Coturnix japonica: one gene and its partner. The protein of the gene in region 1 purifies or fractionates together with the protein of each later gene. This does not show direct contact. Links are inferred from orthologs where the notes say so. Each region holds a gene or a part of one and is shown on either strand. Other genes may lie near its edges.

Evidence for each region.
Region 2: the proteins of NIPSNAP2 (region 1) and HADHA purify together in Homo sapiens (affinity purification with mass spectrometry; 3 studies listed by BioGRID and IntAct, with this or other methods). This does not show direct contact. The link is inferred for Coturnix japonica from reciprocal best matches to the Homo sapiens genes NIPSNAP2 and HADHA.

Annotation. Positions count from the first base shown.
Region 1 is NC_029534.1:3,695,010-3,699,384, forward strand, and holds the start of NIPSNAP2 (protein NipSnap homolog 2), read left to right. Parts: upstream 1-1,362; 5' UTR 1,363-1,466; coding exon 1,467-1,552; intron 1,553-3,336; exon of another isoform or gene 3,337-3,373; intron 3,374-4,062; coding exon 4,063-4,202; intron 4,203-4,280; coding exon 4,281-4,326; intron 4,327-4,375. Other genes in the region: MRPS17 (28S ribosomal protein S17, mitochondrial), read left to right, coding at 1-57. UniProt on the Homo sapiens protein: Protein involved in mitophagy by facilitating recruitment of the autophagy machinery required for clearance of damaged mitochondria.
Region 2 is NC_029518.1:95,806,648-95,810,459, reverse strand, and holds part of HADHA (trifunctional enzyme subunit alpha, mitochondrial), read left to right. Parts: intron 1-1,340; coding exon 1,341-1,463; intron 1,464-2,109; coding exon 2,110-2,228; intron 2,229-3,126; coding exon 3,127-3,183; intron 3,184-3,812. UniProt on the Homo sapiens protein: Mitochondrial trifunctional enzyme catalyzes the last three of the four reactions of the mitochondrial beta-oxidation pathway.

The DNA of each region.
Region 1 (4,375 bases):
ACCACCTATCTAAGTGAAAAACTCCAGGAACTTAAAGTTTGTTCAACAGACAAATAGTAGAGAAAAAAGAATCAAACGGGGCTTTTCCAGCTCATCTCTATCAGGGATGTTTGGGGCCCTGAAATTGTATGTTAAAAATGTTTTGGTGAAACCTGTAGTCAAAATATAAGTAGCAAATGTAGTTGCTTCTAAGAACAGGATGTTCCAGATGGGAAAAACTTGGTGCCTCAGATGAAACTATGGAAAATGTGAGTTAAATGTTAACGCTTTGTTTTGTTGCATGTAGTTCTGCCCAAAGCCTTGACACTTTCCAAAGCCAGCTGCTCACTTGAAATGACTCTTGTTATACCGAGAGATGAAATTACTACCATATGTGGTAGGAGAGTCATTCTATTTTAATTGTTCTGTATTTCAGGCCATCTTTTGTGATTTGTAGGCTTTAAAATGCTATTAAACCTTTTGAAATGAAGTTTAGGAGCTTTACAAGGAGCTTACCTGCATGTGTGCTCAGTTTCTCTGTGAGTTCCTCCTGCCACCACTGTGTTAACTTCTAAGATCTGATGGAATTACAACCACTTGCCTTTATTATGGCAGTAAAGTGAGAATGTTTGGGTAGCTTAGCATTGCTGCTTGTAGCCTGTCCAAAGAGCATTTAGATCTGAGAGAGATGGATCTCTTGATGGGAAGATGGAAGTTTATAAGAATATGGTCTGACTCATTGCAGCCTTTCAATACCTGAAGGGAACTTACTCCCAGGAGGGGGAGTAAACTCTTGGAAAGGGCTGACAATAGCAGGACACGGGGAAATGGTTTTAAGTTGAAAGAGGGAAGATTTAGGTTGGATGTCAGGGGGAAGTTCTTCACTAGGAGAGTGGTGAGGCCCTGGAACAGGCTGCACAGGGAGGTTGTGGATGCCCCGTCCTTGGAGGTGTTCAAGGCCAGGTTGGACGGGGCCATGGGCAACCTGATCTAGTAAAGGTGTATGTTTGGTGGCCCTGCCAGGCAGGGGGTTGGAACTACATGATCCTTGAGGTCCCTTCCAACCCGGGGCATTCTGTGATTCTGTGACTTTGGGAAGGCATCTTTAATCCGGGGCTGTAGTTCTGTTGTTGATCTGTGTGTTGAGGTGGTTGATGTAGGTCATTAATTACAGCTGGCTGATTAAGACCTGCAGCTGAGTGGAAGGAATGTGGGCTCTTAGTCAGGTGAATATACATCGTGCATCTCCATCCCCAGCACAGGAACGGAACCGTTCGGCCCGACTCGCTGTTTCGTGGGACCCCGACCCCCCAGCGGGAGGCGGGCTCCAGGCTCGGGCCTTCCGCGCATGCGCACTGCTGCTGCCACCGAGGCGTGGCTGGAGGACCCCCCTCACCCCGCCGCCATTTTTGCCCCCTCTGCCGGCGGCGGCGCTACAGCGTTACCAGCCCCAGAGCCGGCCCAGGAGGGAGGCGGCCGGAGCCAAGATGGCGGCGCGTGTGCTGCTGAGGTGGAGCCCGGCGGGAGCGGGCGCGGGGCCGCGTCTCCCGTCAGGCGGCGGCCTGACCCTCAGGTGAGCATTGAGGGGGGCGAGGCGGGCGGGAGAGGGCGGCCCAGGGAGAAGGGGGAGGCGGGGGAGGGAGCAGCCGCCGCCCGCTCGGATCCCACTGCCACACACGCTCGGCCTCCCCTCTCCCGTCTGGAAATGGCGCCCCTCTGTCGCTGAAGGGCCGCAGCCGGGCCCGCCGCCTCATGTAGGGCGGGGAGTGCGGCCATGGGGCGTCCCTCAAGGTCACGGGCAGCGAGGCCGGACCCCTCCCCCGAGTCCGCCCAGGGGTGGGGATCGCGTCAGGAGCGCGGCCAGCGCCGCGTCGGGCCCTCGGGGTTAGAATGGGCAGCACCTCTGTGTGTCCTCCACACATCCTCGGGGTTACAATGGGCAGCAATGCCCGTGGGGTTAACGCTGCCAGCAGCTTGTTGAAGCAGGTGCACACAGTGTTGTACTTATTGAGTTCCGAATCAGCTTTGACGTCTGTTTAGCAAATTAAAAAGTGCCTGTTACAGACAAGTTGTTTTTCTTTCTCTTGCAGGCAGACATTGATTACTACTGAATCTATATATTTCACCTGATACCTCCCACTCTACCCACTTTATATTGTATGCTAACGCAAAAGGCAGATGGAAATGTCCTCAGCAGCATTGTTAATTTAATATGACCAAGTTATTCATTGTTCTCCTCTTATGGTCTCAGCCCAATCTTTGTAGCAAGAAATCTGAGCCTTTAGATAACATTTGCAGGACAAGCATTGGCTAGCAAAGTTAAGCAGTGCCTTAAAAGGTTGCATGAAAACTCTTTAATAAGCATCATTCCTAGAAAATAAGAAGTTGTGAGCCGTGATGGTAATTCCCTATAGTGTGTACATTCCCTATAGTGTGTACATATTCATTCTGAGCATTCTGGCTCTTCTTGAGGTGACTATGGGCACAGGTGGCCCAGGCAGGTGAGCTGGCAGTCAGCTTAGTGCATTTTGGTTTGTGGGTGTCCAGATGGACACCAGTAGTGTATCTCAAGGGATATGGTGGTGAAAATTAAGGCTGTAGACACTCAGTGTGTCTCGTCTGAGATGCTGTTTTAATCAACTTCAGCAGTTACCATACTTTATTGTAAGTAAAGTAAACATTTAGATGGCTAGTTGTGGTATATTAGTCCTTGTTGATACGGAACTTTATAGTTCCTGAGTAAATGATTGCATAATCATCTGTAATACTTGTTTTATTCCTCATAGAAGAGCGTTCTGAATGGGAGAATATACCAGTAGTGTACAGGATGATAGAACAGGCACTGCAGGGCTGAAATGGAGTCGTACCTCCTGGAGCCCAGTTCTGTGTCTAGTAGGTGTGTTGTCACCTGTGCCTCTCTCCTCCCTCAGTTGAGATCAAACCTCTCCTCCTGTACCACCCTCTTCTGGCAACAGCTGTATTGACTGGACAGGAATGTGCTTGTATGTTTGTTTAGGGCTGAATAGACCCCTGTGTTCAATAAATAAGACAAAATACCAATTACTTCTTAGCATCAAAATTTGTCTTGGCTGTGGTTGTTTTGGTTCTTACTATTTCTTTGCTCTGAAATACTTCTCAGTTCATCTGTTCTGCTTCCACAGGGTATCCCAGTTCATTAGGTTTTCAGATGTTGATTGTTGAGGAGTGCTGCTGGTGCGAATTCCTTCTGTGTAATACAGACAATTGTGTTCTTTGAGATTTATTTTTTTTTCCACCAAAAGAAGTTGATATTTTCTTCTATTTTTTTCTTTTCCTTTGAGGAATTGTCAGAAAGTTTTGATACTGGAAGAAAGCTTTGTATCTGAAGATCGAAACCTGGCATCTGGATCTCATAGTCAGTGGTGCAGGGTATTAAGTTGACTTCTGAGATAGAAAATGGTTTAAATTTCCACCTGGGCTGCTGGTTCCTTAGTACTTCAGATAAATAGTTTAATATTTCAGCAGAAACTCTATATCATAAAGGGGTGGACTGAAGGAAGTGCTTCCTTTGAGTAAGAAGAAAAAGCATTCAAGCTTGGGGCATAAAGATTCAGTTAAATACCATAGATGTGTCACTTAACTTTTCCTTTCCAGGGCTGTATTTAAGCATACATAGGAACATATGGCACTTATTTACACTGTACAAATCTTTCCTTATGCCACTTCTTGCTCTTTTTCATTCCCGTCTGTATACATCAAGACAGACCTTGGGCAAATACACTTAATTAAAAAGAATATAAAAAGACAACAAAAGCAGCCACCTACCCATTTCTTGCATTGCTTACAAAGAATGAGAGCAGAGAGAGCGTGGTTAAGTGTTCAGCTCTGTATCACATAAAATGGTTTGTGAGGAGGTAAATCCCAGTGTGAAAAGAGCTGCCTTTACCTTGCTGCCAAGTGGCTCAGTGGAAAGACTGAGGGACAGAGCTGGGTGTAACTGTTATAATTTTGTTTGTATTATACTTGATTGTGCCCGTCTTCCCTGCGTTGTGGGCATTTTCAAGACGTGCTCAGTGACAGTGTAATGTACTTGTTAATATGTAGGGGGATGGTATCTTCAGCTAGCAGACCTCGTGAAGACAGTTGGTTAAAATCGCTATTTGTTCGCAAAGTCGATCCAAGGAAAGATGCTCACTCCAACCTTCTAGCCAAAAGAGAGACCAGCAGTCTGTATAAACTACAGAGTGAGTGATATTCTTATGTTTAACGTTACCGTTTCTTTGTTCCATTCCTGCATTTCTCATCTAATGTTGTTGTTTCAGTTCACAATGTAAAACCAGAATGCCTAGAGGCCTACAACAAGCTTTGGTAAGTGTGTGTGTTATGTTTTCACTTTTTAGACACGTTGATTTGACCA
Region 2 (3,812 bases), on another chromosome or scaffold:
CTGCCTGTTGGTGAACCTCTCCAACTTAATGGGGGGCAAAGCCATTAATGCCACAATCTAGGTGGAGCAGAGCATGTAGACTGCAAAGTTGTTACCATTCTCTGCAGGATAATCTTCATTCCCACTGCTGAAGCATGGGTACAAGGATCTTTAAATGTCAGGGTAAAGCTAAGTGAACAGGGGAAGGTTAGCATAGAGGGCATCAGGAGTGTTGGCTCTCTCGCTTAAGCTAATAATAAAGTTGAGAACCTACATTCCTCATTTATCATGTCAGAGGAACAGACTGGAATCTATAATGCTTATGCAGCCTGCAGATGTTAATTCCAGTGGCAAGATCTTGAGAAGAGGCCAACCCCCAACAGCTTAGGCAGTCTGAATTGCTGACTTTCAGCTGAATGGAGATGAACCTTGCAGGCTGCAGAGCAGATTGCACTTCCAAGTGCTCCTGAATGCGAAGAAAATATGTGTGCCTATTTTAAAAGTGCTGCTGTCTACCCTGAGAAATGCAAGGGAAGCTCCCGTGTGCCTTGTCTCAGACCAGCTGGATGAGATGTTATTAGCTCGGTTCTCACTTATAAAATAGCTCCATGGTGCACAGGCTTGAGTTAAATCTGCTCATGAAGCTTTACTGCTGTGTATATGAAGTGTGAATTACCTTTAAGGGCTAACTTACCACCCTTGACTCAATCCAGATTACAATATAGAAGGAACACAAAAAAAGGTGATGTGCAATCATTGGAGGCAGTTCTTGTTCCTTCAAATAGCACCCAGTGCCAAGGGGCTTCCTTACTGAGTATTCACATTGCCATTCAGCTGGGGTAATGCTATTTGAAGGAGCACAAACAGCAACAAGGTAAATGATAGTTAGGTGTTAGAAAAAGGTCTTCACAGTCAGACAGTGAAACAAGGATCTAGAGAGGTGATGGGATCTTCATTCTCAGAGATATTCAGAGCCAGACCAAACATATTCAGGGCCATTCCTGAGTAACCTGATGGAATTCTCAAGTTAAAACCAGACTTTGAACTTGGCCTTGCTTTGAGCAGTAGGTCTGACTGTCTGGCCATGTTCCCATCCAACTAAAACTTTTCTGTTGTTCTCTGAAATGAGTGTTTGTGTTTAATTGGTGTACAGCCATTGGCTTCCATTGGGATTTGACGCGTTGGCAGTTCTGTATGAATAGTATGAACACTAAATATCTTGGAGACCTTCAGAATCAAGAAAAGTCAAGCAGGCAGGGGGCAGAGTGGTAGCAGTTAAAAGGAATATCCTGTTACTGTCACACCCTCTCATCAATGGTAAATTCTGTTGTGTTTCCTCAAGACTTTTCTTTTGTTCACAGGGCCAGGTGTGAAGGCTCCAGATGCACGAACAATTGAGTACTTGGAGGAGGTAGCAATTGGCTTTGCCAGAGGGTTAGCCAACAAGACTGTGTCTGCCAAGAGATCAAAAGGACTAGTACAGAGTAAGTCTGGGCACCACAGCCCAAGCCAAAGAACTGTAGTGAATATTAATCCAGCCTTGCTCAGAGGTCATGCTCCTACATAGTTTTGTCATCAAAGCAAAGTTATTAGATGCTGTAAGTTGTCTCCTGAGCCAGGTGGGTTGGTGGTTAGAAGGTCGCTGTGCAGTTGCAGGTTCTGTACAAAGCTTATGTAATCAGGTGAGGAGTGACATGGTGGTGTGCCCTGAACTGATCCTCTTTAGTCATGCCCTTGTACAGTTAACAGAGCCTGGAAATTGACATCCCTCTGTTCAGGTCTGCTTTGCAGTTGCATTAGGAGGATACCTTAGCCCTAGAAGAGACTTATCCATAGAGAAAGCCACAGATGCCTCCTGAGCAGATCATGCTACCTGTGATTAGCTGAGTTTTTTGTGCATACTCATATTGCAGCTACACAACATTCACACCTCCAGGTTGCATCAAGCCCTAGACAGCCTGGTTTAGAGGTTGGCAATCCTGCCCACAGAAGAGTGGTTGGAGCTCAATGATCCTTAAGGTCCATTCCAACCTGAGTGATTCTGTGATTCTACTATTTAACTGTTGGTTTTGTTATTTTAAGGCTGATTACAGGCCACTGTGCTGAGACATGCTTTGTTCCATCTTGCAGGGTTAACAGACTATGCAATGGCTCTTCCATTTGTGAGGCAGCAAGTCTACAAGACGGTGGAGACCAAAGTTCAGAAGCAAACCAAAGGACTGTACCCTGCTCCACTGAAAATCATTGAGGTAATGCCCACTGTGAGACATAAGAAAACCACCTAAATGAAGATGGATCTTTGGGGTAAATAACATGACAACGGGCACAGGGTTGGTGTTTCCTTCTTCTCAGCAAAGCCATGGGTAGTGACTGATCTTTATAGAAGATGGGGGCTGGTTGTGTGGTCTGCCCAGCAAAAAATGGTAAAATTCAGAATAGCTTCCCAGAACATGATTGTTAGTTTCTATGGTAATGGAACAACAGGTTGCCCAAGGAGGCTGTGGATGCCCCATCCCTGCAGGCATTTAAGGCCAGGCTGGATGTGGCTCTGGGCAGCCTGTTCTGCTGGTTGGCGACCCTTCTCACAGCAGGGCAGTTGGAACCAGATGGTCATTATGGTCCTTTTCAACCCAGGCCATTCTATGATTGTATGAAACCCAAGTGAGGGAATGCTTAGGTTGGAATACTTTGTCTGTAAAACTTTGTCAATAAAACCAGTGCTGTTTTCCTAACACTAACCCCACAAAAGGTTAAAACAGGCATTGTATTGCAGACATTATCCTTGGTTGGATTTTTGTTTCTTTTAAGTGACTTTTCACCTCTAAAACCTGTGAACATCACCCTCTAACTGAGAGCTCTGACCTTACAGGAGCAGAGTCCTGCTGAAACAATTCCTGAATCCGTAAGGTGTGTGTAAATACCAACCTGACAGAAAACTCACTGCCATGGTACTTTGTGCTAGGACAAGGTGATTCCTAACTTTGCTTTGAACAGCATGAACAGGACCCAGAGTGTTTGAAGCGCCCTTTGAATACTCAATAGTGGTCACTGGTGAAAACGGGAGGTGCAGCTAAGCAATTATGATAGCACAGCTGTTGGTGGACATGCCTTTAGTCATGGGAAATCTTTATTGTTGTTTTTAAATAGGTCGTAAAGGCTGGTCTTGATCAGGGGCATGACACCGGATACCTCGCTGAATCCCAGGTAAGAAGATGAGATCCCAGGTAGCAATAAATAAGCTGTATAGATGTGTGGTGAGTTTAACCGTACACACAAAGGATAATATTCTCCACAGGCTGCTCAAAATGGTGCCTGGATCCCTGCCCACTCTACTGCAAGCGGGGCTGTGGAAAAGGCCTATATTGAACAACAGAACTGGTCTTGTTGTTCTGGTTTAGTTTTGGGGGGCTTTTTTCAGGGTTCTTCATCTGTGAAAGCTTGTGCTTCATCTCATTCCTATCTGTTTAGTCTTCCTGGGCTGGGAAAAGCAGGCTGAGTTCACTGATCTGGGTTTCACATAGCAGGACTTTGTGTTTGGTTTCTCTGTGTATCTGAGCAATATTTGTTTGTTCCGTTTGACACGTGGGACGGGTAACCTAGAGGTGATGTTTTTTGTGATGTTCTTGTTTGTTTTCAATAGTGGTTTCCCTACACAGAACAGGGCTTCTCTTCCCCTATCCCTCAGTGGAGCTGGCCTTATTTAGCAACCACTCCAGTGGGAGTACTGCTAGTACTGGCCATTCAGAGTGACCTCAGCAGGCCAGGAGAGCTGGGCAGGCAGGAGCCTTGTGAGGTTCAGCAAAGGGAAGTGCCAAGTTCTGCCCCTTGAGAGG